Linked DNA regions of Nothobranchius furzeri. The protein of the gene in region 1 interacts with the protein of each later gene in a pairwise test. Links are inferred from orthologs where the notes say so. Each region holds a gene or a part of one and is shown in the gene's direction. Other genes may lie near its edges.

What was found.
Region 2: the proteins of rab2a (region 1) and tbc1d25 interact in binary tests that used the Homo sapiens proteins (3 or more experiments, as listed by UniProt). The link is inferred for Nothobranchius furzeri from reciprocal best matches to the Homo sapiens genes RAB2A and TBC1D25.
Region 3: the proteins of rab2a (region 1) and fam114a1 interact in binary tests that used the Homo sapiens proteins (3 or more experiments, as listed by UniProt). The two-hybrid records come from large-scale screens. The link is inferred for Nothobranchius furzeri from reciprocal best matches to the Homo sapiens genes RAB2A and FAM114A1.

The regions. Positions count from the first base shown.
Region 1 is NC_091751.1:59,001,428-59,012,687, reverse strand, and holds the start of rab2a (ras-related protein Rab-2A), read left to right. Parts: upstream 1-5,338; 5' UTR 5,339-5,511; coding exon 5,512-5,557; intron 5,558-11,260.
Region 2 is NC_091755.1:45,663,492-45,669,853, reverse strand, and holds tbc1d25 (TBC1 domain family member 25), read left to right. Parts: upstream 1-334; 5' UTR 335-470; coding exon 471-515; intron 516-1,317; coding exon 1,318-1,427; intron 1,428-1,505; coding exon 1,506-1,660; intron 1,661-1,731; coding exon 1,732-1,856; intron 1,857-2,009; coding exon 2,010-2,198; intron 2,199-3,529; coding exon 3,530-3,805; intron 3,806-4,072; coding exon 4,073-5,638; 3' UTR 5,639-5,862; downstream 5,863-6,362. UniProt on the Homo sapiens protein: Acts as a GTPase-activating protein specific for RAB33B. Involved in the regulation of autophagosome maturation, the process in which autophagosomes fuse with endosomes and lysosomes.
Region 3 is NC_091747.1:79,446,540-79,457,681, reverse strand, and holds the start of fam114a1 (protein NOXP20), read left to right. Parts: upstream 1-4,411; 5' UTR 4,412-4,533; intron 4,534-5,614; 5' UTR 5,615-5,620; coding exon 5,621-5,917; intron 5,918-6,512; coding exon 6,513-6,591; intron 6,592-6,682; coding exon 6,683-6,933; intron 6,934-7,064; coding exon 7,065-7,199; intron 7,200-7,269; coding exon 7,270-7,422; intron 7,423-7,498; coding exon 7,499-7,676; intron 7,677-8,522; coding exon 8,523-8,608; intron 8,609-8,911; coding exon 8,912-9,109; intron 9,110-9,210; coding exon 9,211-9,350; intron 9,351-9,648; coding exon 9,649-9,721; intron 9,722-10,520; coding exon 10,521-10,574; intron 10,575-11,142. Other genes in the region: ube2kb (ubiquitin-conjugating enzyme E2Kb (UBC1 homolog, yeast)), read right to left, coding at 401-459, 542-635, 1,371-1,433. UniProt on the Homo sapiens protein: May play a role in neuronal cell development.

The DNA.
Region 1 (11,260 bases):
AGCTGTCTCATTATAACCGGAGTGCAAAGCGTGCAGGTTCAACTTTTACTTACTTCAGAGGAAAGATAGCCAGGACGCTGCGCCATCTTTTCCTGCCGTCTCCCGGGTTTGAATCCTGCTTTTTCCAGTCAGACAACCACTCTGCCATCTAGTGGTCATTTCTTTTAACACATTAAGTTTTCATGGATCATAAACACATATGTCTAAATAAACAATTTTACATTATAAAAAAGTAAATTTAGGTCTATATTTTATAACTATAGAATCCTAAGATACCTTTTTTTCCCACAGAAAAACATCTTGCCCCTTAAATACAAGTTTAGACTACCGGTAAATCCAAAAATTTTGATTTTCCAGCTTCAACCCAGCTTTTGAACGCACCATGCACACAAATCAGTCAAGTGAGAAAAGTCTCAAAAGGATTTTTGTAAGTGTAAAATGATCTGTGTGTGATGTAGTATTGTTTGTGTGTACCACGTGATGTGTGCGTGTGTGTGTATTCAATGATTTGTATGTTTAGGAGCTGAAGTTACACACGAAAATGTAAACACAAGTTACAAATCAAGAGTTATACACACACAAATCTAGATACAAACACATTTAGATACACACAAATCTAGACGCACACACAAATCTTTAGTCACGCACACACAAATATTGATACACACCTAAATTTAGACACACATGCACAAATCTTTTGAAACTTTTTTCTCCCCATAACATTTCACATTAACTAAATTAACTCGTTATTTTTCACAGCACTAATATATATATAAATTAAAAACAATTATATAATAATAATTATTATTATTATTATAAAAATTAACAATATATTTATTCTATTCAATTCAAAAATGCTTTATTAATCCCAGAGTGAAATTGATTGCTGTAGTAGCTCAGAATAATAATAATAATCAAGTCATCAAAGAGTTATTGTATATATTACAATGGCTGTTGGCAGGAAGGATCTCCAGTAGCGGTCAGTGTTGCAGCGAAACTGAAGAAGCCTCTGACTGAAGACACTCTTCTGTTGTCGACAGTCTTGTGAAGAGAATGCTCAGGGTTGTCCATAATTTTCTTGATTCTCTGGAGAATCCTTCTTTGCATTATCTCCTCCAGCGGTTCTGAAACTGCCGAAACTCTGGCTGAGTCCTCGAAAGGGCTTGGAGTTCCTCCATCTTGTTGGCCAGTGATCTCACATTGCCCATTATGATCGATGGAAGAGATGGTTTGTATTTCCTCTTTCTCTGTCTCCGTTTTGCTCCCGCTCTGCATTCACGCTTCTTGCATTTTAGCTCATTTGGGATTCATGGCTTCACTTGAGGTATTATTTCAGCCTTTCCAATGTTAATCAGCCACTCCCGTTTGTAAACCAGCTTGTTGCCATGGTTACACATCATAACAAATGCTCAAAAAGTGAAAAAGCTCAACAATAGCAGTAAAAATCCTCCAAGCTTTACAAAAAAAACTTGTTTATCAATCTTGTGATTTTATTTTGTGAGTTAAATACATCTCCTCGCATGTAAACTGTCCCACTGTTATTGCGCACACACATAAAGTGGCGCTTCCCTGTCCGGTGCATTCTGGGAGTTGTGGTCGGACTTGTAAAGTGAATTTTCTGTCTTTCAGCATGGTTTATGACACATTCAAAACCACAGCAACCTCACTTTGGAAAGCATGTTAATACAGTTGTGTAACTAAGCTGCTAAATGATTGAAACCCATTTTTAATAGATGGATTTTAAACAGGCTGTAAGCTAACCTTGCAAAACAACGCTATGCTAAGCAGCTTTTATGCCCTTGATGTCACCTGAACAAATTCAAATGCAAGTCTGGCAGTACAACTGAATAATTCTGTTCATCTTACAGCGCACAAATACTATTCTAGTTTCATATCTATGTTCACAGCAGCTTGAAATAGCTAACCTAGCTTAGCTCACACAGACGTTAGCGCCTGCTAACACAGAAATAAGGACAGTGTATGAATCTGGCTGTCAGACCTATAAAACGTTTGAAATGGTCAAGAATAATATCTGTCTCATTATAACCGGAGTGCAAAGCGTGCAGGTTTAGAGGAAAGATCGCCAGGACGCCCCGCCATCTTCGCCTGCCGTCTCCCGGGTTTGAATCCTGCTTTTTCCAGTCAGACAACCACTCTGCCATCTAGTGGTCATTTCTTATAACACTTTGACTAAGTTTTCGTGGATCAGAAACACATATATGTCTAAATGAACAATTTTAGATTATTAAAAAGAAAATTTAGGTCTATCTTTTATAACTACAGAATCCTAAGAAAATTCAGAAAAGTCTCAAAAGGATTGTTGTAAGTGTAAACTGATCTGTGTGTGATGTAGTTTTGTCTTGATTTGTGTGTGTGTGTATTCAATGATTTGTATGTTTAGGAGCTGAAGTTACACACGAAAATTTAAACACAAGTTACAAATCAAGAGTTACACATACACAAATCTAGACGCACACATTTAGATACACATAAATCTAGACACACACACACACAAATTTAGACACACATGCACAAATCTTTTGAAAAAATTTTCTCCCCATAATATAACGTTTCACATTAATTAACTAAAATAACATGTTATTTATCACAGCACTAATATATTCAATTCAATTCAAATACAAAAATGCTTTATTAATCCCAGAGGGAAATTGATTGCTGTAGTAGCTCAGAATAATAATAATAATCAAGTCATCAAAGAGTTATTGTATATTACAATGGCTGTTGGCAGGAAGGATCTCCAGTAGCGGTCAGTGTTGCAGCGAAACTGAAGAAGCCTCTGACTGAAGACACTCTTCCGTTGTCGGACAGTCTTGTGAAGAGAATGCTCAGGGTTGTCCATAATTTTCTTGATTCTCTGGAGAATCCTTCTTTGCATTATCTCCTCCAGCGGTTCTGAAACTGCCGAAACTCTGGCTGAGTCCTTGAAAGGGCTTGGAGTTCCTCCATCTTGTTGGCCAGTGATCTCACATTGCCCATTACGATCGATGGAGTGTCACGGTGTAGGAGGTGGAGACGGCGGACCATGTGTGGATGAGCTGAGCAGGAGGTAAAAATGCAGGCTTCAGTAAAAGTAAAAAAAAAAGGTTTAATGGCAGGATGGGATGAACAGGAACACCAACAAACAACAACAATGATCTGACAAAGGACAGGGGCAAAACAGGTGGTATAAATACAGAGGGCTAATTAGGGAAACATGGGCAGGTAAACGAGGGACAGGTGAGAACAATAAGGGCAATCATGGCAGGAGAAGAACACAGTCAGGCGGGCAGGGGCAGATCGTGACATGGAGGAGATGGTTTGTATTTCCTCTTTGTCTCCGTTTTGCTCCCGCTCTGCATTCACACTTCTTGCGTGTTAGCTCATTTGGGATTCATGGCTTCACTTGAGGTATTATTTCAGCCTTTCCAATGTTATTCAGCCGCTCAGATTGTTAACCAGCTTGTTGCCATGGTTACACATCATAACAAATGCTCAAAAAGTGAAAAAAGCTCAACAATAGCAGTAAAAATCCTCCAAGCTTCACCAAAAAAACTTGTTTATCAATCTTGTGATTTTATTTTGTGAGTTAAATACATCTCCTCGCATGTAAACTGTCCCACTGTTATTGTGCGCACACATAAAGTGGCGCTTCCCTGTCCGGTGCATTCTGGGAGTTGTGGTCGGGCTTGTTCAGTGAATTTTCTGTCTTTCAGCATGGTTTATAACACATTCAAAACAACAGCAACTTCACTTTGGCACGCATGTTAATACAGTTGTGTAACTAAGCTGCTAAATGATTGAAACCCATTTTTAATAGATGGATTTTAAACAGGCTGTAAGCTAACCTTGCAAAACAATGCTATGCTAAGCAGCTTTTATGCCCTTGATGTCACCTGAACAAATTCAAATGCAAGTTTGGCAGTACAACTGAATAATTCTGTTCATCTTACAGCGCACAAATACTATTCTAGTTTCATATCTATGTTCACAACAGCTTGAAATGGCTAACCTAGCTTAGCTCACACAGACGTTAGCGCCTGCTAACACAGAAATAAGGACAGTGTATGAATCTGGCTGTCAGACCTATAAAACGTTTGAAATGGTCAAAAATAATAGCTGTCTCATTATAACCGGAGTGCAAAGCGTGCAGGTTCAACTTTTACTTACTTCAGAGGAAAGATCGCCAGGACGCTGCGCCATCTTTTCCTGCCGTCTCCCGGGTTTGAATCCTTTTTCCAGTCAGACAACCACTCTGCCATCTAGTGGTCATTTCTTTTAACACATTAAGTTTTCATGGATCATAAACACATATATGTCTAAATAAACAATTTTACATTATTAAAAAGTAAATTTAGGTCTATATTTTATAACTACAGAATCCTGGGTTGTTGTAATTGTATATATGTGTGTGTCTATGGTGTGTGTGTATTTATATATATGTTTAATGTGTGCGTGTGCGTGTGCGTGTGTGTGTTATTTACATGAGTGCTCCAGCCTGCCGGCTTCATATACAATATATGTCCTAGAGCTGGTGAGCAGATTGATTATAAAAGCCAGCAACACAGGAGCTACAACCAGAGGAGTAGCCAACAGAGACTGTAAAACACCAAAATACAAAACATCATTTGGTCAATCCTCGTTCTCATTTAAAGAACCTCAGATCTGGAACAATCTACCATCAACAAAAAAACTGTGACACTTTACAACTTTTAACTCCCAGGCAAAAAAGTGGCTGAAACAAACTCAAACTTGTAAGCACTGATGTTTCTTAGTCAAACTAATTTATCTGCTTTGTGTGTGTGTGTGTGTGTGTGTGTGTGTGTGCGTGCGTGCGTGCGTGCGTGTGTGTGTGCGTGCGTGCGTGCGTGTGTGTGTGTGTGTGTGTGTGTGTGTGTGTGTGTGTGTGTGTGTGTGTGTGTGTGTGAGAGAGAGAGAGAGAGAGAGAGAGAGAGAGAGAGAGAGAGATGACAAATGTTATAAATGATGTTATTTTGATTATATCTAAAAGTCAAACCAAGGACTAGGTTTGCAAATTAGCCTCTGGCTAGAAAACCTCTGTACAAAGCAAAGCAACGGTTGCATTGCCATTACATGCAACAATTGTCTCTTGTGCTGTCCTTGTTCAAGAAAGCAAATAAATAAAATAAAGAATATTTTTGCATGGATTGAACCTATGCGTCAATAGATCAAAATGTACTTTTTTAAGACACAGCGAAATCTGTGCAATGACGACAGAGCCAGTAGTTAGCACTCTAATATTCATTTCCACATCTGTCATTGTAATGAAATACACCTTTGAGTTTTCGAGCTGAACATGAACGCATCATTCTGTAGCGTGGCGGGGGCGGACCGTATGACGTTGAGCCGAGACTCTTGCTGTTTATTGTTCCTTCCTGAGAACCGACACAGAAAAACAGGCTAACGAGCTGTCAGACACTCTTCTTAGACGGTTCGCACTTGGTTTTACGAAGGTGTAACGGTTGAGACAGCTGACTGCAAACCCTAGAGGCCATGGCGTATGCATATCTCTTCAAATACATCATCATCGGGGACACGGGTAAGCTGCAGTTAGCGTTTAGCTAGTATTTAGCTGCTAGCGGCGTATTTCCGCAGTGTTGGATAGTCCAATGACGTGGGAAAAGCAGAGACGCAAGGGGTGGGATGACAGCTCTAATTCTTCCCCAATAAGTTACCTGTTTACTTCAAAAATTCTCACTGGCGGTATCAGAACAGTAAAAGAGGAGTTCAGTCACGATTTTTCCCGTCCACACTATAATGTAGCCGTTGTGGACATACTGTTAGATGTTTTGGCCTTTTGTCCATTGACGTGTAGGGTGGGGGTGTTAGCCTCAGCTTGCTAACCAAACCAGTCAATGTCCACCCAACACCTGTCACGACATCAAATTAACATCCTAATCTGTGTCCATACATACAGGCCTCAAAAGCATGTTTGCGTTATAGAGCCACCCATCGTCAATAACACTGTTACCATTAGCTTAGCTTTAGGCCTAAAGCCTCGGATGTAGCCTGAAATGGCGTAGAAATCTCAGACTTGATCCAATGTCTCCTGTTAACACGACGTTTATATTTTACGAGGCTGTGTGAATTTGTAAGGTGTTGTTTCCTAAACATGTCCAGTGATTAAGAGATAATAGCCTCAATTCACTTTTACTAGGATGCTCTGATGAGGGGCCTGTTGAGTTAACTTGCGGGATGACAGCAGGTGCATTACAAATACCGCTGTTTTATTAAGATGTAGCATCATTGTCAGACTAGCTGACTGGTTTGATGGCAGTAAAGTAAAACAAAAGGGCTCAGGATCATTCACATCAAAGAAATTGGAGATATTCCGTCTAAAGCAGTCAATTTTACTTTTTAATATTTTATATTTTATATATATATATAATAGGGTCTCTAATGACCTTCTGACTCACGGTGATGCAGGGGACTGTTCTGTTCTGGTCCTGCTGGACCTGACTGCAGCCTTTGACACCGTTGACCATCACCTGCTAGTGGAGAGGCTGAGAGACTGGGTAGGCCTATCAGGAACTGCTCTGGAGTGGATCTCCTCTTATCTTTCTGAGCGCTCCTTTTCTGTGGCCGTCTCCAAGTTTAGGTCCTCCACCACCTCTCTTACCCATGGTGTCCCACAAGGTTCTGTGCTTGGGCCTCTGCTCTTCCTCCTCTATCTGCTTCCTCTTTAGCACATCCTGAGCTTCTTCAAAGGAGTCTCCTACCATCTTTATGCAGATGACATCCAACTGTACATCTCCTTTAAGTCCCATGAGATGTCTAAGCTGCAGCTGTTACACACCTGCTTAGACTCTATCAAAACCTGGATATGGGAGCTTTCTACAGCTGAATGAAGATAAGACTGAGATCCTCATCTGTGCCCCAGACAAGCTGGTTCCCAAAGTCAGAGACTCTTCCTTCTTCCATCTCAGGAACATTGCTAAGCTGAGTCCCATTCTGTCCCGATCTGAATTTGAGACAGTTATACACACCTTCATCTCCTCACGCTTAGACTTCTGTAACTCTATTTTCACGTGTCTGAGAAGAACCTCCCTCAACCGTCTGCAGGTGGTTCAGAATGCTTGTGCTCGGCTTCTGACCAAGTCCTCCAAACACACCCACATCACCCCGCTTCTCCTCCAGCTTCACTGGCTGCCAGTCAACTTCAGGGTTCATTTCAAGATCCTGGTTCTGGTCTATAGGGCCTTACATGGACAAGCACCATCGTACATTGGTGATATTCTTAGTCCCTACACCCCCAGCAGGTCCCTGAGGTCCAGTGATCAAAGCCTACTGGTTGTGCAGCGCACCAGGCTAAAGACCAAAGGTGACAGATCATTTGCTGCTGTGGCCCCAGACTCTGGAACTCTCTCCCCCTGAGCCTGAGATCAGTGGACTCAGTGGTCTCCTTTAAAAAGCAGCTGAAGACTCACTTGTTCAAGCTGGCTTTTGTATGACCTTCTTCACCACTCTCTCTTTATTCTGCTCTCCCCACCTATTCCACCTTCCTCAGGATCCACTGATTTCCCTCTTTCCTATTCACTCTCTCTCTTTACATTTTTTTAATCACAATTGTCTATTATTTGCTAATTTTAAATATATTTTTAACCATTTTCTAAATTCTTTTTTATATTTTTACATTTTTTGTTTTTGTGAAGCGCCTCGTGACTTTTATCTTGAGAGACGCTATAGAAATGATACTTTCTTTTTCTTCTTCTTTTTCAATGAGGGCACCGATTAGACCAGTGATTATGTAGAAAATAATAAAATTGTAAAAGTTATACATCTAGAGGGAAGATTTCTCTCCCTGCTTTCTCTCACACAAATGTAAAACCATTGTAGGTCATTAATTAACCCCTTTGGTGGGCTGCATATTTATTACAGGCATCTTGCAAAACAGGATCATGTTGGGGATGTTGTTTATTTCTAGTACTGAATGTTGTGTTGAGCTGTAGCCAGGCTCCTAGCTTGGTTACAAGTATGTTTGTGCCACATACTCTCAGTTCTTATTAGGAGTGTAACGGTACACTAAACTTGTATTCGGTTCAGTTCAGTGTTTTGAAGGGCTCGGCTTGATTAATTTTCGGTACATTATTATTAGATGTATTTATTTATTTAATATCTGAAGCTGCTCCTATAGTGAGCAGAACCAGGTGTCATCACAGGCTGCTAATCTAGCATGATGTATGTAATTATTTCACAGGTTATTTGCGCCACAGACATATATACATAGATGTCTCGTGGACTGACGCTGTCTATTGGAGATGCCGTAATGGCCGACCGCCTTAGATAGATTAGCCCCCAGTGCATTCATTTGTACTGAGGAAGGGGCTTACCCAACAAAAAAACATGTTTTATCAAGCTTTTTCACAAAATCAAACACAAGATATGGCATTCTAATTAAAATATAATAAAATTAAATATAAATATTAAATATAAAATCCTATCAGGTAGTCTAGAAAAGTCACTAGTAATCCCACGTGATCTGTTTTCAATTGTATGCTGGTTGTAACTGTAGGCTGCACAGAAAGGGGCATAGTTGCTCACTCTGCATTGACTTTGGAAAGTGAGGAGACCCATCCAACATGGCGGCGGCGACGCTGTTACACTCTCCAGCGCCCAATGGGGCATCTACATATTCATGCCTATGATTTGCGCAGCTCACTCATACAGACGAGTGTTGTGTTTGACGTGTTTTATTTCTTAAAAACTCACCTCACACCGCCTAGTATTTCTTCTTTAAAACTCGTGTTAAATAATGAGCGTCATCCGCAACATATGTTTCATTGTAGGATGAAAATTTTACATCAGTTGTCACAGCGGAAAAGTTCAGCAGACATGTTTGTTTACATGTTTGCCGCTGCGTGCCTGCACACTGAGAGAAGGGAGGGTGAGGCGACACGATGCTCAGTCTCTACCATCGACATATATATATATACGGTCGCTACACAGACTCCACAGTAGCAGCGATAGCCAGTTGGTATGATCTGCTTTGAAACACGTTGATCAGAATTTGCAGATCACATTTTTTAAATGGAGACCGGGCGCATGCAGCCATCATGCGTCACTCAGTACAGCGTCCGTGCGGAAACGCCAAGAAACTTTTATCCGCTGCACTTAAGGCACACAAATGTGTAAAAATTTCATTATTTAATGGAAAAAATACACCTAAACAGTACGCAAGTGGACCGAACTGCCTGAACCGAAACGGTTCAAATAACCCTCGTGAACCGTTACACCCCTAGTTCTTATGATTATGTCAACATAAGTGGGTTTCCTTAACCAGGTGATTTGTGGATAACACTTTAAAAGCATTTCTTGATGCAAATTAAGGGGTTGGTAAATCTCATCTGTGTGTTTCTGTGTCTTGTTTTGTACGGATTTAATTCACCCGACACACACACTTAAAATGTGGGTGATGATCTGTGTTTATTTTTATTTAATCACACGCTAGTTATTAAACCTGTTTCAAGGGAGTTGATCTATAGCTGATCTACTGATTCAAACCAAATCTTATGCCGTAAGGTGAAGCATTTGTACTTAATTCAGAGATTGTTGAAAACTTTTGTAAAACGTTCAGGCTCTTTCAGTTTTGTCGTTACACGTGCCGTACAGCCAGTTAGTTGTCCAACAGGACTAGAGATGTTTGTCGAATTCCACCATTTCATTCCTACAAATATCTCAAAGCAAAAACTTGGAGAATGTGTAACGACTTATTGTCGGTCTGCTTTGAGATTTTATGCAGGAAACAACCCAAAATATATTTTTAGATCAAATGTTGAATAAAAGTTCATTCGGGTGGCTCTGCTTTGGTTCTTTTAAGCTATCACAGTTCCAAGTTGCTCCTGTTTAATGAATTGTTTTAATTTTTAGTTAAGAAGTTGCTAATTTTTAATTAACTCTGCAACATAGTTATCTGTCCAGAGTTGTGGGTGTGTCGCTGACATTTTCAAAAATTAATATTAGGTCAGGTATAGGAAACGGCTTTAGTGTTTGATGATGTATAACACTGTGAGTATGCAGGGTCACCCCCGGTCACGTGTCCTCCTAATTGTTTATTATCAGTAAATACATAATTGGAGAAACCTGTTTTGCTTCCATCTAGAGCTGAAACGATTCCTCGAGTACCTCGAATAATTCGAGTACAAAAAATCCTCGAGTCAAATTCTCTGCCTCGAGGCTTCGTTTAATTCATGTTTAATTAATTCATGGCTTTGCTTATATTCGGCAGACACTGTGTGACTTTTTCATTTGTAGCACTTGGTTTCAGCTCACACCGTATGTCTGGTAGCAACACGTCGGTCTTAAAATGTGCTAAAAATAGCAGTTTTTACAACACATCAGACTTTTTATTGTGTTGTTGTTGATGTCTGTTGTCCCTCAGGATTGCTGCAGGAGAACACAGGTATTTATGAGAGTGGCGGAGGAAAACGAAAGAAAGTAAATAGATGTTTTATGATCAGTATAATTTGACATAACCACGGCAAACATGCTTTCGACAATCCTTGTTAGTGTGAGACAAAAAGTGTAGAAATTAAAACGGACGTGTGTTAATAGGGAAACAGCTGGCGAGCCATGCTTGCGCATGCGCCATGAGCAGTTCTGGTGCTGTTAGGGCCGCAGCCGCTCGCATTTGTTTACTGTAAAGTAAAGTTGAAGTGCTGAAGTTTTGAAAACTAATTTTGAATAAACCTTGAAGAATAACTGGCAATTGCTTGCTCATTTCAAGAGGTCTTTTATATTTTATAACATGCTATTTGATATAAGGGTTTACGAACGCAAAAGTAATTTAGAGTACTCGATTAATCGATAAAAGATTCGATAGAGTACTCGATTACAAAAATATTCGATAGCTGCAGCCCTACTTCCATCCAGTGTGGAGAGGGTTGGACTTTGCTCTGTTGTGTAAGGAAGCAGCTGGGACGTACAGGTACAAATGACTTTAGACTGACCTGTTCTCAGTCTTTACAGAACATACACTTAAATCTGAGTTCTGTTCTTAATTGGATGAAGGACCTTAAACCAGAGAGGCGCTTGGCATAAAGAAAATCATAATCTGAGTTTAAATGCTCTAAACAGCTGCTGTCCAGTGGAACTCTTTCTAAAATATTAAGAGTTTTAACCCCAGCCATAACACAACACCCAGAGCATTTATGCAAAATGTAAAAGTTCAAAGCAATTATTTTTGTTTGCCTACACATTAAATGTCACTATTTTGGAGAAAAAACTGTGCCAGAGAGATGCAGCT
Region 2 (6,362 bases), on another chromosome or scaffold:
GTGATAAAGAATACTTTATTTGCCTTTACATACTAACCCGTGTTCCAGTTAAGGGCAAAGTCACTATGCGTGGACATGTTTGGATATGTTTCCCTCCAACCAGAATAAAGCCCATGATGTGCGTTGAAATGCATTCGTTTTGTTACTGAAGAGTTTGGATCGGTGATGGATCGGTTACGATTGTTCGGGGCTAACAGAAACAACTAAAACACTGATCAGAGTTTGGCTGATTGTTGTGAAGTTAAGATTTCCCATTTATCCTGAATGCGTTCGGAAGTGACGGTTTCGGGGTTCGACCACCAGGTGGCGGTGTTTCTACTGAAAACTTCCTGTAAAGAACGAAAACAGAAGAAGATCCCGGACCAGTGGAGCTCTGTCGGCGCTAGCTCCACCATGTCACGGTGACCATGTCGGTGTGAACGGAAACTGTTTTCCTAGAAACGTTTCTGTTTCCAGACGGAGTCTTTAGGATGGCAGGCGAGGAGGAGCGGGGGGTGGTTCGTGTCAAAGTCAAGGTAGGATGTTAACCGCGCGCCGCTGGCGGCTAACGACGCCGTTGTCCCGGTTCGGTCTTGTGTTTATTTCTGTCAGACACACGCGGAGAAAACAATAAACTCGGACAGAAACACAATTATCTGCTTATGGGAGAAGAAGGAGTGAGTCTGTGGGGAACCCAGGCCGTGTGTGTGTGTGTGTCGGTCGTTTGTTTGTTTGTTTGTTGTGGCTCTGAAACCTGCGGCGGTGACAGCAGCAGGAGCTGATCGATCATCTCCGAGTCTCAGCTCGTTCTGATCGATTCCCATTTCTGTCGTTCTTTGTGATTATTGTCCAACTCGGAGCAGTTCGCCGAAGCTGCGGGCTGACGTCACCTCGCTGCTCCGTGTGACGTCAAATGTTACCTGGAGAGGAAGAGCCACGAGAGGAATTTTATTTCAGCCTCCATCCTGACGTCATTACTTTATCTTAGAAGTTCCTCCTGATGTTCTGAAGGTTTTATTTAGTCAAAACGTTTATTTGTTTATTTATTTATTTACTTGTGGTTAACGTCTCTTAGCTTCGACCTTTGACCTCCAGGGCTGAACACACATCAGGTTCGGCTACAGCTGCTCTTGTTTGAGCTGAATGGAGAAAGGGTTCATTAATGCAAGCTCCCATCACCAAGCTGCAGTTACAGATAAAACATCTGTTGTTTACTCATAAACATGGTCCCACGGTGGTTAATGTCTGCGTTCTCATCAGCGGCGTTCAGACCCAGCTTTGTTCTCCAAAGCCTGTCCCGGTCTCACCCAGATGTTCCACTGATCTGATTCCTTCCAGAAATGTGACGGCGCTCTTCCTGTCGAGTTTCGCTCCTTTGCTGTGGATCCTCAGATCACGTCTCTGGAGGTTCTGCAGCACATCCTGATCCGAGCCTTCGACCTGAACGGGTAGGAGGTGACTTCCATCCCAACACGCTGCCGAGGGCTTGTGGATAAACCTTTTGTCTGTTTGCTGAATCAAACCAGGAAGCGGAACTTCAGCATCAGCTACTTGTCCCGGGATCGGAGCGGAGTGGAGACGCACCTGTCTCTGCTGTCGGACTGGGATCTGGACGTGGCGTTTATGAGCGCAGCTAAACCGTTCCTGCAGCTGAAGATGGACGTGAAGCCTTCAGAGGACAGTAAGGACCCAGAGTTGTCCAAAAGCACGAGGGGAGGGAATAGAACTTCATCCTTTTCTTTTTACCTGCAGGTCCAGTCATGGAGGACTGGGACATCATCAGTCCCAAAGACGTGATTGGCTCTGAGCTGCTTACTGAGAGGACCAGGACGTTGGCTTCTGCAGCTCTCCCCTTCACCCAGTCCTTACTGTCCCAGGTCAGCAGGTCACCAGTAGTGGGTGGGTGGGTGGTGGGTGCATAAAAATCAGAATGCTTTTCTTTAAACTTCACTTGAAGTCCAACTTCAGACACCTTCTCATCCAAAATAAGTTTCTGTCACGTCAAACGGGTCGTCCGTACCTGTTTACAGGTGGGTCGGACCCTGTCTCGAGTCCAGCAGGCCTTCACCTGGTCCTATGGGGAGGAGATCAGACCTTTCAAACCTCCGCTGAGCGACTCGGAGTTCCACAGCTACCTGAACGGACAGGGCCAGCTGACCCGGCCGGAAGAACTACGGCTGAGGATCTACCACGGTGGCGTGGAGCCGTCGCTACGAAAGGTTTCTGCTCCTGTTCCGCTAACGCTCGGTTCTACGGGCTCCTGGAGGTGGTTTAGGCTAGAACGTCCAGATTCAGAGGGCAGAACGTCTCCTTCGCTCGTCGTTCTGGAGGTGCCGAGGTCTCCTAGTGGGTTTGGTCCACGAGAGCCCAAAACGCCCAACAGCTCTCCTCGTTCAGGACTTCAGTCAGAACTTTAGATGTTCGCCGGCTGAGTCCAGCAGACGTCAAATCGATGAACAAGAAAAACGTTTCTAATTCACTCGTTGGTGTAAATGACAGAAATGCGTTGTAACCATGAGAGATGAGATTCCATAGGAAATATGAAATCAACCTTATGGATCTTTGGGTACTTTTAACCAGAAGACTGGAACTTTTTATTGCAGGGATTATGTAACAGCTTCATATTCACTCAGAGACAACAGAAGAGAGTCAAGTTTAAAAGTTTAAAGATTTATTACTAAACAAATCAAAACTAGACTAACTTAAACACTAGATGTATGGTGTAACTAAGGTGGATGAGATGGAGAATGGTGTGATGTGGAATGTTGTTCAGAACCAGCAAATCCGGAGGAACGATTAGTTCTGATGGAAGTGAAGGTGATGTCTTCACGCTAAGCTTTGGTTTGGAGATTCATAAACACACATTGAGACGCCATCCTGTCGCTCTACGTACCCTTTCGGAAGTCCCCGTTAGATCAGGAATGTCGAGGTCCAGCTTGACCTTGTGGACCTGAAGCCGGTAGAAAAGCAGCGGTTGCCGACCAGACCAGTCTTGAGATACTTCCGGGTCACGACAGTTTTGTTGGCATCTAGTGAGACCCAAACCTGGGTCGTGATGGTTCAGCTTTTATTCTGAAAGGAACCGTTGCAGCAGTTGGAACAGCAACAGGTTTATCCAGCTTGTCGTTGGTTCTTTCGGCTGAAGAGGAAAGTTACGGATTGGCCACTCCGACAACTTCTCTAGAACGTGTTGAACTGGCGTTAAAGATGGCGTGGGCATAGTTTTATACTTCGGATGTTTTGGTTTACGGTCGAATGAAAAGATGACAGATTTACCAAGCACCACCAAAACCCCGCCTCCGTCAGATCTGGCAGATTCTGATTGGATCAGTGAAAGTAATGTGTCGTCTCTCAACGCTACGTGAGATCAGTCCTAGTGGAAACATTTAAAGTCATATTACTTATTATATTCTATAGGATTATAATAAAGTAATTAATATTTTCATTTCACAGATTGGTCACATTGGGGGGGTGACTTTTAGGTGGAAAACAGTCATTTCATTCCGTTACGGTGTGACTGAACCAGAAACAGAGTGTTTGTCTCCGTCAGGTGGTGTGGCGCTACCTCCTGAACGTCTATCCCGACGGACTGAGCGGGCAGGAGAGGATGGACTACATGAAGAGGAAGACGAGGGAGTACGAGCAGCTGAAGAGGGAGTGGACGGCCCGGGTCAGCCACGAGGAGCTGGAGTTCATCCGTGGAAACGTTCTGAAGGACGTCCTGAGGACGGATCGAGCTCACTCGTACTACGCCGGCTCAGAGGACAGTCCACACCTGACCGCCCTCACCGACCTGCTCACCGCGTTCGCCATCACGCACCCTCAGGTGAGTCCATCACATGACCTCGTCCCTAAAGAGACGCTGATCATCAGGCGTCCTGCTGCTTCACCACCAGGTGTTCAAACTTCTTTACTGCTGCTTTTTATTCACAATTCCCAAATATTCCCAAACATTCCAGAACGTTCTGGAGTTCAGACAGACGATGAGTCTTTGTAGAACTTTCGGCTTCAGGTCGGATCTGTAAAACATTTTTCATGAGCTGTCTTTGTCCCGGTGTCTAACGGACTTGTGGAATTCTGGGATGTTTTCCAGATCTCCTACTGCCAGGGCATGAGTGACATCGCCTCTCCCATCCTAGCAGTCATGGACAACGAGGCACATGCCTTCATCTGCTTCTGCGGCATCATGAAACGCGTGGAGGGAAACTTCCGACCAGACGGGCAGCTCATGTCCGTCAAGTTCCAGCACCTGAAGCTTCTCCTGCAGTACTCGGATCCGGAATTCTACACCTACCTGGTGTCCCGAGGAGCCGACGACCTCTTCTTCTGCTACCGCTGGCTTCTCCTGGAGCTGAAGCGAGAGTTTGCGTTCGACGATGCTCTGCGGATGCTGGAGGTGACCTGGAGCTCCCTGCCCCCGGATCCTCCTGAAACGGAAGTGGAGCTCCTGGGACCGCTGGTGGAGGCCGAACAAACGGCCTTTAGAGGGGGGACCCTGGAAAATGTCCATAGAGATGATGAGGGACAAAAGGAGAAGCAGCGTCGGCGGCACATGCTGAGGCCTTCCAGAGGAGAGCCGGAGGTGCGCAGAATCCTCGCTGAAGAGAAGGAGGCGCGAGCCGGAGACGCTGGGAGGGAAAACGACGCTCCAGAAACCGCGGAGGAGTCGGAATCCCGGCGTCGCTGCTGCCAGAGACAACCCAGCTTTGGAGAGTTTAAATACTACACCGCTCGGAGTGAAGACAGCATGGACATGGAGGACGCTGACACGGCGAGGGACAAGCCAAGGCGCCAGTCCACCGTGGACAGCGAGGACGACCCAGGAGAACAGACGCCTCTCATTACAAACTGTCCAAACGGTCCCTCTCCAGCACCGTCACGCTCCCTCTTCCCCGGTGGACTTCCAGCCTGGAAAAACGGACATTCCGTCTCTCCTTCATCTTCAGTTTCAAACTCCGGCTGGCCAGGAGTTTCTCCCGACTCTCCTCCCGATCCCACATCTCCGGCCAGCGGAGGCGAGGCCTCGTCAAAGACTGTCCCTAAAGTGTGGACTTCTCCGGTCCCGGTGCTGAGCACCGCAGAGACCAGCTGTCCTCCTGTGAAAACCTCCCCCTCTCACGGTCCCAGCAGGTCCCTGCTGTCCTCTCCCGTCCTGTCCTTCGGAGGCAGCAGGTTGTCTTCTCCGGGCCCCAGGTCCCCCAGCGCCGCCGCCAGCACGCCCGGCTCCCTGAAGGCGGAGACCACCAGCATCAAACCCTGCTCTCTACCTCCTCCTCAGGAGTTCGGGAAGGGAAACCCCTTCATGCTGTTCCTGTGCTTGTCCATCCTGCTGGAGCACCGGGACCACATCATCAAGAACAACCTGGACTACAACGAGATCGCCATGCACTTCGACCGCCTGGTGCGCCGCCACAACCTCGGCAGGGTTCTGCAGCGGGCCAAGGCCCTGTTCGCCGACTATCTGCAGAGTGAGGTTTGGGACTCGGAGGAAGGAGACGAGGTGAGCTCGGACTCTCCGACCACAGCGGCTCCTCCGTCCCCGTCTCCGTCCCTCTCCACGCGGCCCGTTTACAGCCCTTTAGCTTCACCCCCGTCGTCACCAAACTCCACCTACAACCTCAGCGCCACCGTTCCCCTCTCGGTTTCTTCCACTTCCTGATTCCGTCCTGCAGCTTTGGACTTCACCGTGGTCGGACTCTGAGGTTCCGTTTGCCTCCTGATGTTGGGCCGGGCTCGTCCCGCGTGCCTGCTGACGTGTATTCCCGCCTGTAATCATCATATCCTTTGTTTTGTGAGGGCGTCGACTCTGCTGCTGCCGCCGCCGCTGCTGCAGCCGCTGCTGCTGCTGCTGCCGCTCCTGCTGCTGCTGCTGCTGCAGCCGTTCCTGCTGCTGCTGCCGCTCCTGCTGCTGCTGCTGCTGCTGCTGCTGCTGTCGCTCCTGCTGCTGCTGCTGCTGCTGCCGCTCCTGCTGCTGCTGCCGCCGCCGCTGCTGCAGACGCATGAAGTTTAAATTGTGACAGCTGAAGCTCACTCGGCTTGCCTGGATTCTGAAGGACCGCGGAGTCTTGTCGGTGCATTCGGCCTTTCTCTGATCTTTGTTTATGTTTTGGTTTCGTGTCCGGAAACCCAGGAGGAGGGTTCAGGAGTCTGCTTTTACATCTCCAGCAGAACCTGGCCAGGTTGTGGGTAATGAATCTCATGGCTGCTGTTGATGTGCGTCTCCGAAGTTCCGCCGGGGTCTCCGGACCCTCGACGGGGCGGGCGTAGCCGCTGGCGCTCTCTCAGCAGGTGTGCCGAAGCCTTAAAGGGAGACTCCACTCAGCCTGTGTGAACGTCACAAATCATTCCCATCTTGTTCTTGGCTTCCTGAATGGCCTCGGTTC
Region 3 (11,142 bases), on another chromosome or scaffold:
CCTACAATAATGTTAAATGTTCTGTTGTCACACTTGTTTTTCCTGCTGAGCCGCTGCAAACGGATAACTACCTCATTAGATCTCATATGTGAACAATAAAAACATTCTCAGATCAGTACTCATGGATGCAAACTGAGGACATTCAGGAAGCTACAACAGATATGAGTAGTTATTTATAAAGTTTAAACACAAAACAGCCAAAATGGATTCCCTAAACACATTTTTGTCACTGAATGGCTCCAACTTAGGTAGTTGCATCACCGCTGATTCAAAGGTGAGTGACCAGAAAATGTCTCCCAACTCAGCATTTCAAGAATTTGCTTCCACTAGTCATCTGATGTTTGATTCAAACAAGTAATAAGGGCATAAGACAGACTCACTATTGCAGAGGGACATTTACCTTTGGTGGGTTAAAAGGGTATGTTTCTGGGATTTTTATTTCAAGTTGATATCTGCCACCTTGGAGAGAGACCACACAAAAAGAAACGTTGAGAGTAAATGAATGAAATGATCTGAGTGTTGTGTAGGAGAGAGATGGTACCTTCGTACGGCGTGTCTGGAGGTCCTGCTATCTCCCCCCTCAGCTCTGTGAAGTTCTCATCCACTAAATCAACTTTAATCTGGTTTTTACTTGTCTGAGGATTGGGACAAAAACAGGGACACCAAAAGCATTTTTTACCATCCCTAGTTCCCATTTACATGTGAAAGGTGGTTAAATGCGGAAACTGTAATGTTCGTTTGATTGGTCCATTTATAGCAGTTACAGTAAAACCAGGACGTCTACATTAGCAAAGCAGACCACTAGCTGCTAGAGCACAGCGAGACACCGTTGTCTACAGATGATCTAAAACACACCTTAAAAGGCAAAATAAAGACGGTTTATAAAGAACCGGGAACAATAATTTCAAACAGATTAGGTTTATCGACGTTTACGTTTCAACACAACATGCTAATGCTAACTAGATGAGATGTCATAACACCGTTTCCCCAGCTAGTCAAAAGCTGCTGCGTAGAAATGACAATATTAGTGAATACAGAAAGAACAATGGTGGCTACTTTTCATACGAGGCTTGTTACATTTTTCTAAAAAAGTATGTGGTGTTGTTGTTGGTCACATTGGGCCTGTCGGGTGATAGAGCTCAATCCCCGGTGTTTCCTGAACACACACCCCTGGCACAGCAGGAGAGCTCCGGGCATTTGTGAGGCTAAAGCTAGCTAAAGTTCTGACTGCTAGGGCCTGACCTGCTGCTGCATTACAGACTTCAGGTTATTTTGTTTCCCATAATTGTTGCTGTCACAGTAAGAGTTTATCACGATCTAAACCAAATACAACCCAGATAGTGTAAGAACAAACTGTGGTAGAGACTCACCTCTTCGCTCTTGAGAACTTCTTTAAACTCTCGCTTAATCCTTTGGACTGCGATGTTAGCCATGGCTGAGTGTGTCTGTGGAGCTAGTGCTGCCTCTGAGGTAGGTAGACCCGGTGTTCTGAGAAAACGTCCTACTTTGGCAAAACGTCCTACCTGTGGGCTAATTTTACGGTCTGGGCTCCACTCACGGTGGCGCGCGCGCGTGTATGTGTTTGAACACAGCAACAGGTGAATTAACCTAAAAAATTACATTTTAAATAAAATTTGGAATAACATTTTAAATAACTGAAATGTACTGTTCTGAAATATTTGTGTTTGTAAAATCAAGTTAAATGTTTTGGATACATGCTGCTTTTTAATGAAAATGAATAAAGGAGCTATGCAACACATCACCACAGGCTAAACTCTCCCAGAGTTGTCACAAGGACCAATTTGGTGTGCCACCCCAAAAAACTGTTTGGCCCCATCTGGCCACCCCTATCAAAATTTTCTGGAGGTGCCCCTGGCTTCAGTGCAGTCCATTACACACTGGGAGAGTCTTGGCCATGAAACAGCTTCCTCTCTTAACTCGCGAGATCACAAAATCCCTCAAGACTTCAAAAGTCATGTTTTTTTAAATGCAATCTGCTATTAAACAAAAGAGAAGGAAATCGTGTTTTGCTGTTTGATGTCATATTTGATTATCCTCTCCACTGCCAGGATTAAAGCCCTGGAAAAAACACGGCTACCATTCTAGAACGATGCATGGAGCCGCAAAAACTCTGTGCAGCCCGGTATCAAATGACCCAAGGACCAGTACCGGTCCATGGCCCGGAGATTGGGGACCTCTGATCTAAAAGAACAATCATGGGGTGACTAAGTTATAGAAAGTTAAAGCTGTTGATTTATCTTCTGTAGGCTTTCATTTAGTGAGCAGCTGTGATTAGCAGCAACACCTACAGATGATCAGACCTGCTGCATCAGTGCCACGACCTGGTGAAACAGCTAACTAGGATGAGCATCGGTCAGAATTACTGCCTAAAAGTAACTTCAGGGTAGTTTCATTTTGCGTTTCATGGCGATGACGTAGATGTTTCAAAAACCAAAACTGTTGGGACCCTTTTCTTTAAATGATTCTAAGAAGTTAACTTTAATGACCTGCTGCACACCTGAAGTGTTAATAGATTCATAGTAGATGTCTGGAGAAATGTCCAGTCTCCCTAATGAATGATGAAACAACTATCTATTAGGTGTTTTATCACCGTGTGTGTGTGTGTGTGTGTGTGTGTGTGTGTGTGTGTGTGTGTGTGTGTGTGTAGCGAGTTAAACTTATCATGTTTTAGGGACAACAGAACGTTTTATGAAGTTTAGAGGTGAAGAGTGAAGCTGTTTACACACACAACCACAGAAGTTCTGCTGTGAAAAGTAGTTTTACATTCAGGGATTTACACAGCTGACACGTTTTATTTAAGTAAAAAGTTTGTGTGAAGAATATAATTTTTATCTTCTCATGTGGATAAATGTAAAACTGTGTTTATTGCCTTTTTGTCACCTGTGCTCTGATTTTCTCTGTAGGACTGCAGGTGTCCAGGGTCAGGACAGTCTTTACCTGTTGGTCCTCCTGGGAGAGAGGCCTTCTACTGTAATCATGTTAATGTTATTTAGCTGTTTGATATTTGAACACGTTTATTAAAACAAATACTAACTGATAACTCTTTCTGGTCATTGATTTTATCACCAATTTTATTAATTACAGATGCTTTTGAACATGTTACATGAACAGAAAATGAAAAGATGGTAAGGAGACAAGATTATTTATAATAGGTTACACTTATTTACAGATCAAAACCAGTATGGACCAGTTTTGTACGGTTAAAGCAGGATTAACCTGAGTGACTCTTCCTGGATCATTTATTTAAACTGAGTGAGCAGGAAGTCTTTAACAGTGCAGCTGGATCTGCTGCAGGAGAATCCAGACGTGGATGGAGGGCTGGAGCAGACCCGTGGCTGGACGTTTCTGGCCAGAGGAACATCATACAGGACGGTCTGCAGAGAGAGCTTTGGGACGCTTCCTCTCACTGTCCACTCCATCGTCCATCTACAGGACCTGCTGGGCTGGCTCAGACGACGGCTGTTACATCTCTAAGATGTATTCAGAAATATGAAATGAGGAGATGGTTTATGGATCCACTGGTATAACAATTGTGACTCTTCAGCAAATTAAACCACAGTGTTGTTTTTAATAAAGGTTCCTACATAAATGACTTGCCTGTTAACAGTAGTGGTGGTCTGCTGGGACCTCCTCCAGGACAGAGCGCCACTGACCTCCTCCACACACATCTTCCTCAGGCCCATCCTCCAGGCCTAAAACTTCACCAGCACAGATGCAGATGTGCAGCACGGTGCATGCTGAATGCCTGTAATAGATTAAAAGAGTTTTTTTTTTGAAAAATGTAAAACAAAACATATAACCTGCAGTACACTGGTTCTGTTCAGTTTAAAGAAAAGCAGCAGGGAATAGTTAAAAACTACAGAGAATTTACATTTTAACACAGATCTAATCATTAGGCTTAAGTTGAATAAACAAATGCACATTGAAAACACTATTTTATTAATAAGCCTGTTTTTAAAGCATTTTACCCCCATTTGATGCAAAATAAGAAGTTCTAAGGTCCAATTTACATTAGAAAACATCCGACTGCATTTAACATTTCTAATGGATTTGGTTTATATTAATTACCTCTGTACACTGTGTTGTGTATGTTTAACAAGTTCATTCTGTAGCTTAAAACATACACGAAACGATCTAAAGTTAACATGTAAGTCCTGAAGACTTTTAGAATAAAAAAAAATTACTTTACCGGAAAACGTTTGTGAACAAACGCTGCTGATGGACGTGAAGCTGCTGTAGCTCCTTAATATTCCTGCTCGATTTTCGCTAGCTTTAGCATTTTTCCTTTTGCGCGTAGCTGCCGCCACGGCTGAGACGGGACCTACAGGCCACCGTAGAGGTGAAGGCCGCAGCGCTGCCCGACGAGCGGTGGCGCCGCCATCTTGGATTGGTCAAGACCCCGCGGTTCGACAGTGAAACATCTTGGCAGCGTTTACTCTTTGACGCTTACAGTGCTCCGCGACCTGCCGACGTGGCGGGGCGGAAGACGCTGTGCTGGCTGGTACTGAACGGGTGAGCTGTGCTCTTTCTGGAAAACAAAATCATCTGAGGTTTACAACTTTCCGTGTTCGTTTAAACTACAGCGCTAAAAAGCTGCAACTAAACAAACTAAAATAATGTAGTGACTTAAGTAAAGTACTGGAAATGCGATGGCGTAACTTGTCATGAGGAATTCTTGATTTATTGGCTTATAGACACAAAATAACAATGGTGTTTTCTGTTGGTCTCTAAGTTTTCACTCCTTTGTTCTGCTGCTATTATAGTGTTTCTGAACGGGATTAAAATGAAGCAGATTTATTTTAAAAAGACATCTGTAGAAAATTATTTATGGAAAAGTTTACTGCTCTATACCGATTGGATTTTTTTTAAATTTGTGCTTGAAGGGAAAATTGTTAATCTGTGTTCACCATCCGAAAAAAATGTGTGTTTATTTAAAAAATAAACTTTAAAATAATGAAATTCAACTCTACACATTTATATAGTATATTTTTCATAGCATGTTGTGCATACACACAATTTAAGATAAGGCTTTACTGATTTTGTCTTTTGACATTTAGTTAAATAACTTATTCCTGCCTGTAAACAAACAAAACTAACTCAAATCAAAGAGGGTGACATTATGTCTTATGAATGTATTTGCAGAAAGTGACCACAAGGTGGCGACATTGTTTATCCATTTTAATCAGTGTTTCCTTTTATATTTTAGACACAAAAGGGTTCTGTAGGATGATCGTCTCAGGGCAGGATGTTTTTATTTAGGTTGTTCTGCAAACAATACAATGATTAAAATGTAATGAGTTCTTTACATCCCCTCTCAAACATTTAGCTCACAGTATGGTTAAGTTTTATTTTAACCACCATGGTAATGTGAGAAAAGTTGCTAACTGTTTTTATGCACATGAATTGATCTGCATTTTTGATGGTATTTAATCTGGGCTGAAGGACTGGCTGTGTTTTCCAGTTCACTTATTTAGTCTAAAGGAGAATATATTACTTGTTTTTGCTTCTCAAGGGATTTAAATGTCCTGCTTTGGGACATTGAGAAAGATCCGTTATAGCTCATGCGTTGCTTAGCGGGTCCATCCTGTTTCAGATCACCATGTCCCAGGCTTCCCGCTCTGATGCAGAGCCCTGCACTGACAGCAGGACTCCATCTGATCTGGGTCTCTGTCAGGATGTCCCAGTGTCCTCTGAGCACCCGTCCCCTTCACCAAAGCCTCCTCTCATCCCCACGATTGTTGAACTTCAGTTGTCCGCTGAGCAGACAGCAGAAGAGGATACGAGCGCCAAACCTGACCCATCAGAGGATCGGCCGCAGCCCCCTGCTGAAAATCAGCTGACTGAATGTGACCAACCAGTGAGCCTGGAGCCAGAGGCCGACGGGTCAAAAGAGGAGGTGAATGTTTGCTTTTTGTTAGTGTTTCTTAAGTCGGTGACCTCTAGCCCCTCAGGTAAAATATTTTTTTAAATCAGTGTTTTAAGGGCAAAGATTTAAAATTCATACACAATTTTCTGTAAGACCTGGTTTATCTACAACTGACACACCCACAATATTCCCTCTGTGCATCCGTTGATTACTGACCTGGGGATCTAGCTGCACACTAACACATCAGACTGCTCTCATACCAAACGCTGAGCTCAGATCAGCTGTTTATTCATCTCTTTTGCTGGATCAATAAAGTTAATAAAGCCAGTGAATCCTATTGGATTGGGGTGTTTGCTCATTATGACTTTAACTGACTAATGTTCACTCAGGAGGAGAAGAAGAGAACCCGCTGTGTTCTCTTAGCCTCCAGACTTCCACTTGGACATTACTGATGTCTAAACGAGGGAAGTCTGAAAGCTTTTGTTCATTCAGACAGTGTTTTTGATCAAAAATGTTCTATTTTTACTATTTATAAACTAAACAAGTGTCTCTCAATAAAAACCTGTTAGCATCTCTGCATTATAAACATAGTAAGTGACTTATTTAAATGTCCCTGTGTGGACAGATGTCTCTCCAGCAGAAAAGCTGGGGAGGTTGGAGTTCATGGGGGAAATCTCTCCTGAGCAGTGCCACCTCCACCGTTGGTACGACTCCTATTTTAACTTGTAATACCTCATTTTATTACTGTCCCCCTCCACACACTCATCCACCATGTCTTTGACTTTCTGCGTGCAGGGCAGAGTCTGACCTCTGTTAAGGTCAAGGCAGGAGAGGCTCTTCGTCTCCACAAGGCCTCGGTAGGTGAGGAGGCTCAGGAGGTGGAGGAGGAGGAGGGCGATGGAGGTGGAGCAGAACAGGAGGATGGGGGAGAAGGTGGCCATGTTGACCTGTCCAACTCAGAGGAGTGTTCAACATCAGGTGCTGCTCCTGCTGCAGCTTCAAGCAGAGGCGTCTTCTCTACAATCACAAATGCAATGCAGAACACTGTGAGCACACACACACACACACACACACACACACACACACACACACACACACACACACACACATTTAGCATGATGGAAGTTCAGAACTAAGCGGTGTGATCTTTCGTGTTGTGCTTTTCCTGCCTCTACAGGGTAAGTCGGTAATCAGTGGAGGTCTGGATGCTTTGGAGTTCATTGGAAAGAAGACCATGACTGTTCTCGCAGAAAGTGACCCTGGGTTTAAAAAGACTAAGACCCTGATGCAGAAAACTGCCTCGCTGAGTCAGGCATGCACAAACCAGTCCATCTACCTCTGAGTGAGAAAACCCAGCGCCAAACGTCTGTGCTCTGTTTCAGATGTTGAAGGAGGCGAAGGAGAAGGAGCGTGCACGTCTGAACAACCAGCCTGTCAGCGCACCCACCGCTCACTACGGGATTCTTTTTGATGACTACCAGGGTTTGTCACACCTGGAGGCCCTGGAGATTCTGTCTAATGAGAGCGAAGCTCAAGTAAAGCAGCAGACACTACCGGTCAGAAAGTGTCTGTTTAGTCATGGTGAACGTAACGCGCTGTGTTCACGCTTAGGTCCAAGCCTTCCTGTCCGCTCTGGCGGAGGAAGAGCAGGATGAGGTGAAGAAGGAGCTGATCTTCATCAGAGACATTTTCATCAAGCAGCAAGAAGAAGAGGAAGGAGAGGCAAACGGAGGACAGACGAAGGATAATGGTGATCTAAGTTCCCAAACACAATGTTCTACCCCTCTATGTGAGTGATCCAGAGCAGCCAGAGGTAGAGCCGTCCCTGAGCACTGACCCAGGATCAGGTGGTCTTAGGAGGCTTGATAAAAGCAGTCTGACATGATTATAGGTGAACTTTGAACTTCAGCCATTATTGATGCATCATGTGCTACTGGCAGGTTTTAGACTCAGCCGGACAACAAAACATCTCTTCATGAGGTTACGCTTTACTCCAGACAAGCTCTTTTTTTATGTGAATGTTGGTTTAGGGTTCCAGTGATGATCAAATTCTATATTTATATTTATTTTACTCTGCAGACACTTATTTAGCATGCATGCTTTTGGTCTGTGGGAGGAAACCAGAGAACTCTGAGATCCCACGCAGGTTCATAGAGAAAAGCTGCAGCCAGGATTCAAACCTTGCTGCGAAGTAACCATGCTGCCCACTGCACCACCATGCAACAAACTGAAAACTCATTTCATACAAAACATCACATGTGTGATCTGCTACCGCTCACATTATATGAGCTACTAACACCCAGAGTGAGAGCCATTTTTGTGTTCGCCAACGCTGATTAGCTATAGCGGCCATCTTGAAATGGGTTGTGATCCAGTGTCGGTGTTCAGGGACCAGCGTCACACTCACCTTGACGAAAGACACTAGAAACAATCCACAATCAAAACATGCATGTGTGCCGTGCATCTAAACGTAATTGTGATAAATTGTTGAATTAATTTGGCATGAAAAGATCAATCGGGTACCTGCACAGATCCTTTGAATCCATGCATGGAGGGAGTCCAAACGTGGGCGTGTCAGAGCTAGATTTTAATGTGTGAGCTAATCTCTGCTGACTGGTTTGTCTGTTCTTATCAGCTGCTGATGGTGAGGAGTTTGTCAGCGTTCTCACTGAGCTGCTGTTTGAGCTTCATGTTGCTGCAACACCAGACAAACTCAACAAGGTAACACGAGTTTGACCATTTTAGTTAAAACCAGTTTGGATGTGAGGACTCATCATTTCACCAAATATAAAAATTACAGTCATCAATGATGACTCATCCCGAACACACATTCTTGGCCTTGCTGGCATCCTGCTGCAGTTTTAGAGACAATATTAAATAAAGTCATCACCTCTGCAAATCTCCAGCATTATAACATTCCCGTTCATAGAAGTGACATTAGCATCGAATCGTGGACATGCATCTCATCAGCATACATCAGCTCTTAGCATGCAGCGCTGATGGGTGGTAATTATGCATCTCCAGGCTCGAATGAGGGCCCATGAATGGGTGAACAAGGTGGAGCAGCCTGTCACTACGGATACGGTTGTCAGGGAAACGCAGGACAAGCCAGGAGGAGAGGACTCCCCTGGAGAGAGCCAGGAGGAGAAGAAAGATGGAGAGGAGCTGCAGGAGAGGAACGAAGATAAGAAAGCAAAAGAGAGTGACGCCAGATCAGTAGAGGTCATCTCATGATTTAGTTTACCTTCTTCATGCAGCCAGTGTCCTCCTCGGCAGTCTCACTGTGTGTGTTTGGTTTTTGTTGTTTGTCTTTCCCTCTGTAGGTTGTGTACATGTCGTCAGTCGGCAGCCTGGCGGAGGTGACTGCTCGCAGTATCGAGCAGCTCCACAAGGTGGCAGAACTCATCCTCCATGGTCAGGATCTGGAGAAACCAGCGAGGGACCAGGCCCAGATCCTCACCAGGTACATGCACTGGTATTCAAACACACGTCATGAGAAACAGACTTACTTTAAAGACATTCCCACTAAGGAATTTCACCCATGGAAATAACTCTCATTAATGTGATGTCCTGTGGTGGGACGGGAGTAAACCTGTTCTTGTGTACTTTGGGTCTTTGGTGACATTTGTAGAACTTTGGTCTGGGAACATTTCTGTTAAGCTAAAGACGTTGAACTTTTTGGCAGAGTGAGGTTACAGCATGTGTGAATCACGGGGAAAGACTGAACGCTGCAGTACAATAATCCGTGTTTGGTATTCCAGGTTGACGTGTGCCATGTGTGCGGAGGTAGACTGTTTGTGCAAGAGCTTCTCTGATGCTCTCCTTCTTGTTGGGGTGAGTCTGACTCAATACAGTTTGAACTTTTAGTATTTTAAACGTGTCAGTAGAGTAATTTATGATAAATGACCCGCACTTGTAAAGCGCCTTTCAGTGTCAGAGGACTCCAAAGCGCTTTACACTACAGTGTATCATTCATCCTTTCACACACACACACACACACACACACACACACACACACACACACACACACACACACACACACACACACACACACACACACACACACACACACCTGCTACCTACAGTAAAACACGGTGGTGGTTCCATAATGCAGTGGGCTGTGTGGCCAGTGCAGGGACTGGGAATCTTGTTAAAGTTGAGGAATGAATGGATTCCACTCAATATCAGCAGACTCTGGAGACCAATGACCAGGAATCGGTGACAAAGCCGAAGTTCCACCAGGGCTGGATGTTTTACCAAGATGACCCTAAACACTGCTCAACATCCACTAAGGCGTTCATGCAGAGGAACAAGTAGAACATTCTGGAATGGCCATCTCCTTCCCCAGACCTGAATGTTATTGAAAATAACTAGTTCAAACAGTTTAGATGCAGAGGCATCAAAGGCCTTGAGCAATATCTCAAGGAGATTAGTTCTTCATGAGGAGAGAGATGACCTTTAGGTGGAAAACAGTCCCTTCATGACGCTACACTGTGGTGTGAGTTAAAGAGAGCTGTCCATGCTCAGAAGCCATTAAACCTGAATAGTTTTATATCCATTCAGTTAAATCTTACTGAATCCACTGGAGACATCGGTCAGCCCTAATCCACCAGTGTTGCTGGATGTCTTTCAGGCCCAGAGGAAAGCAGAGGAGTTGAATCCATTAGTAGATGGTGTGTTGCAAGAGGTAAGGTGTTTAAGGTTATTTTATAATGATAAAGACTTTTATATTGTTTTAAATGCTAATGGATTCAAATATCCCACTTGGTGAGGAGATTAAGTATGTCCCTTCCTCAAAACTTTGAAATTTGCTCAAATATAAAAATTGGTAACTCCATAATATATTGATAATGACAAGTCATCATCAGCAAGTATATGGTGCAATTAAAAATAGCTTTTTGACTACATTTTAAATATATGTACCGTGATTTCCGGACTATAGAGCGCACCTCAATATAAGCGGCACCGGGCTAAAAGCCGCAGATATCTACTGGATTGAAAACGTAGTTTAACTGGACGTAACTGAACTGATCAGTATCAGACAAAACAGAAAAGTTATTGATTAGTTTATTCATCGTCCTCCTGCGCACTGAAACCACTGAAGCCATCTTCTTCAGTGTCAGAGTAGAACAGCCTCAGAAGAGCTTCGTCACATACCTTTTCTGTGGCGATGTCAGTGTCGCTCTCCGTGTTGCTGTCATCATCCCCGGGTGAAGCTGGGAAAACAAGCAGCGCCGTTTTACTGTGAAAAAAAT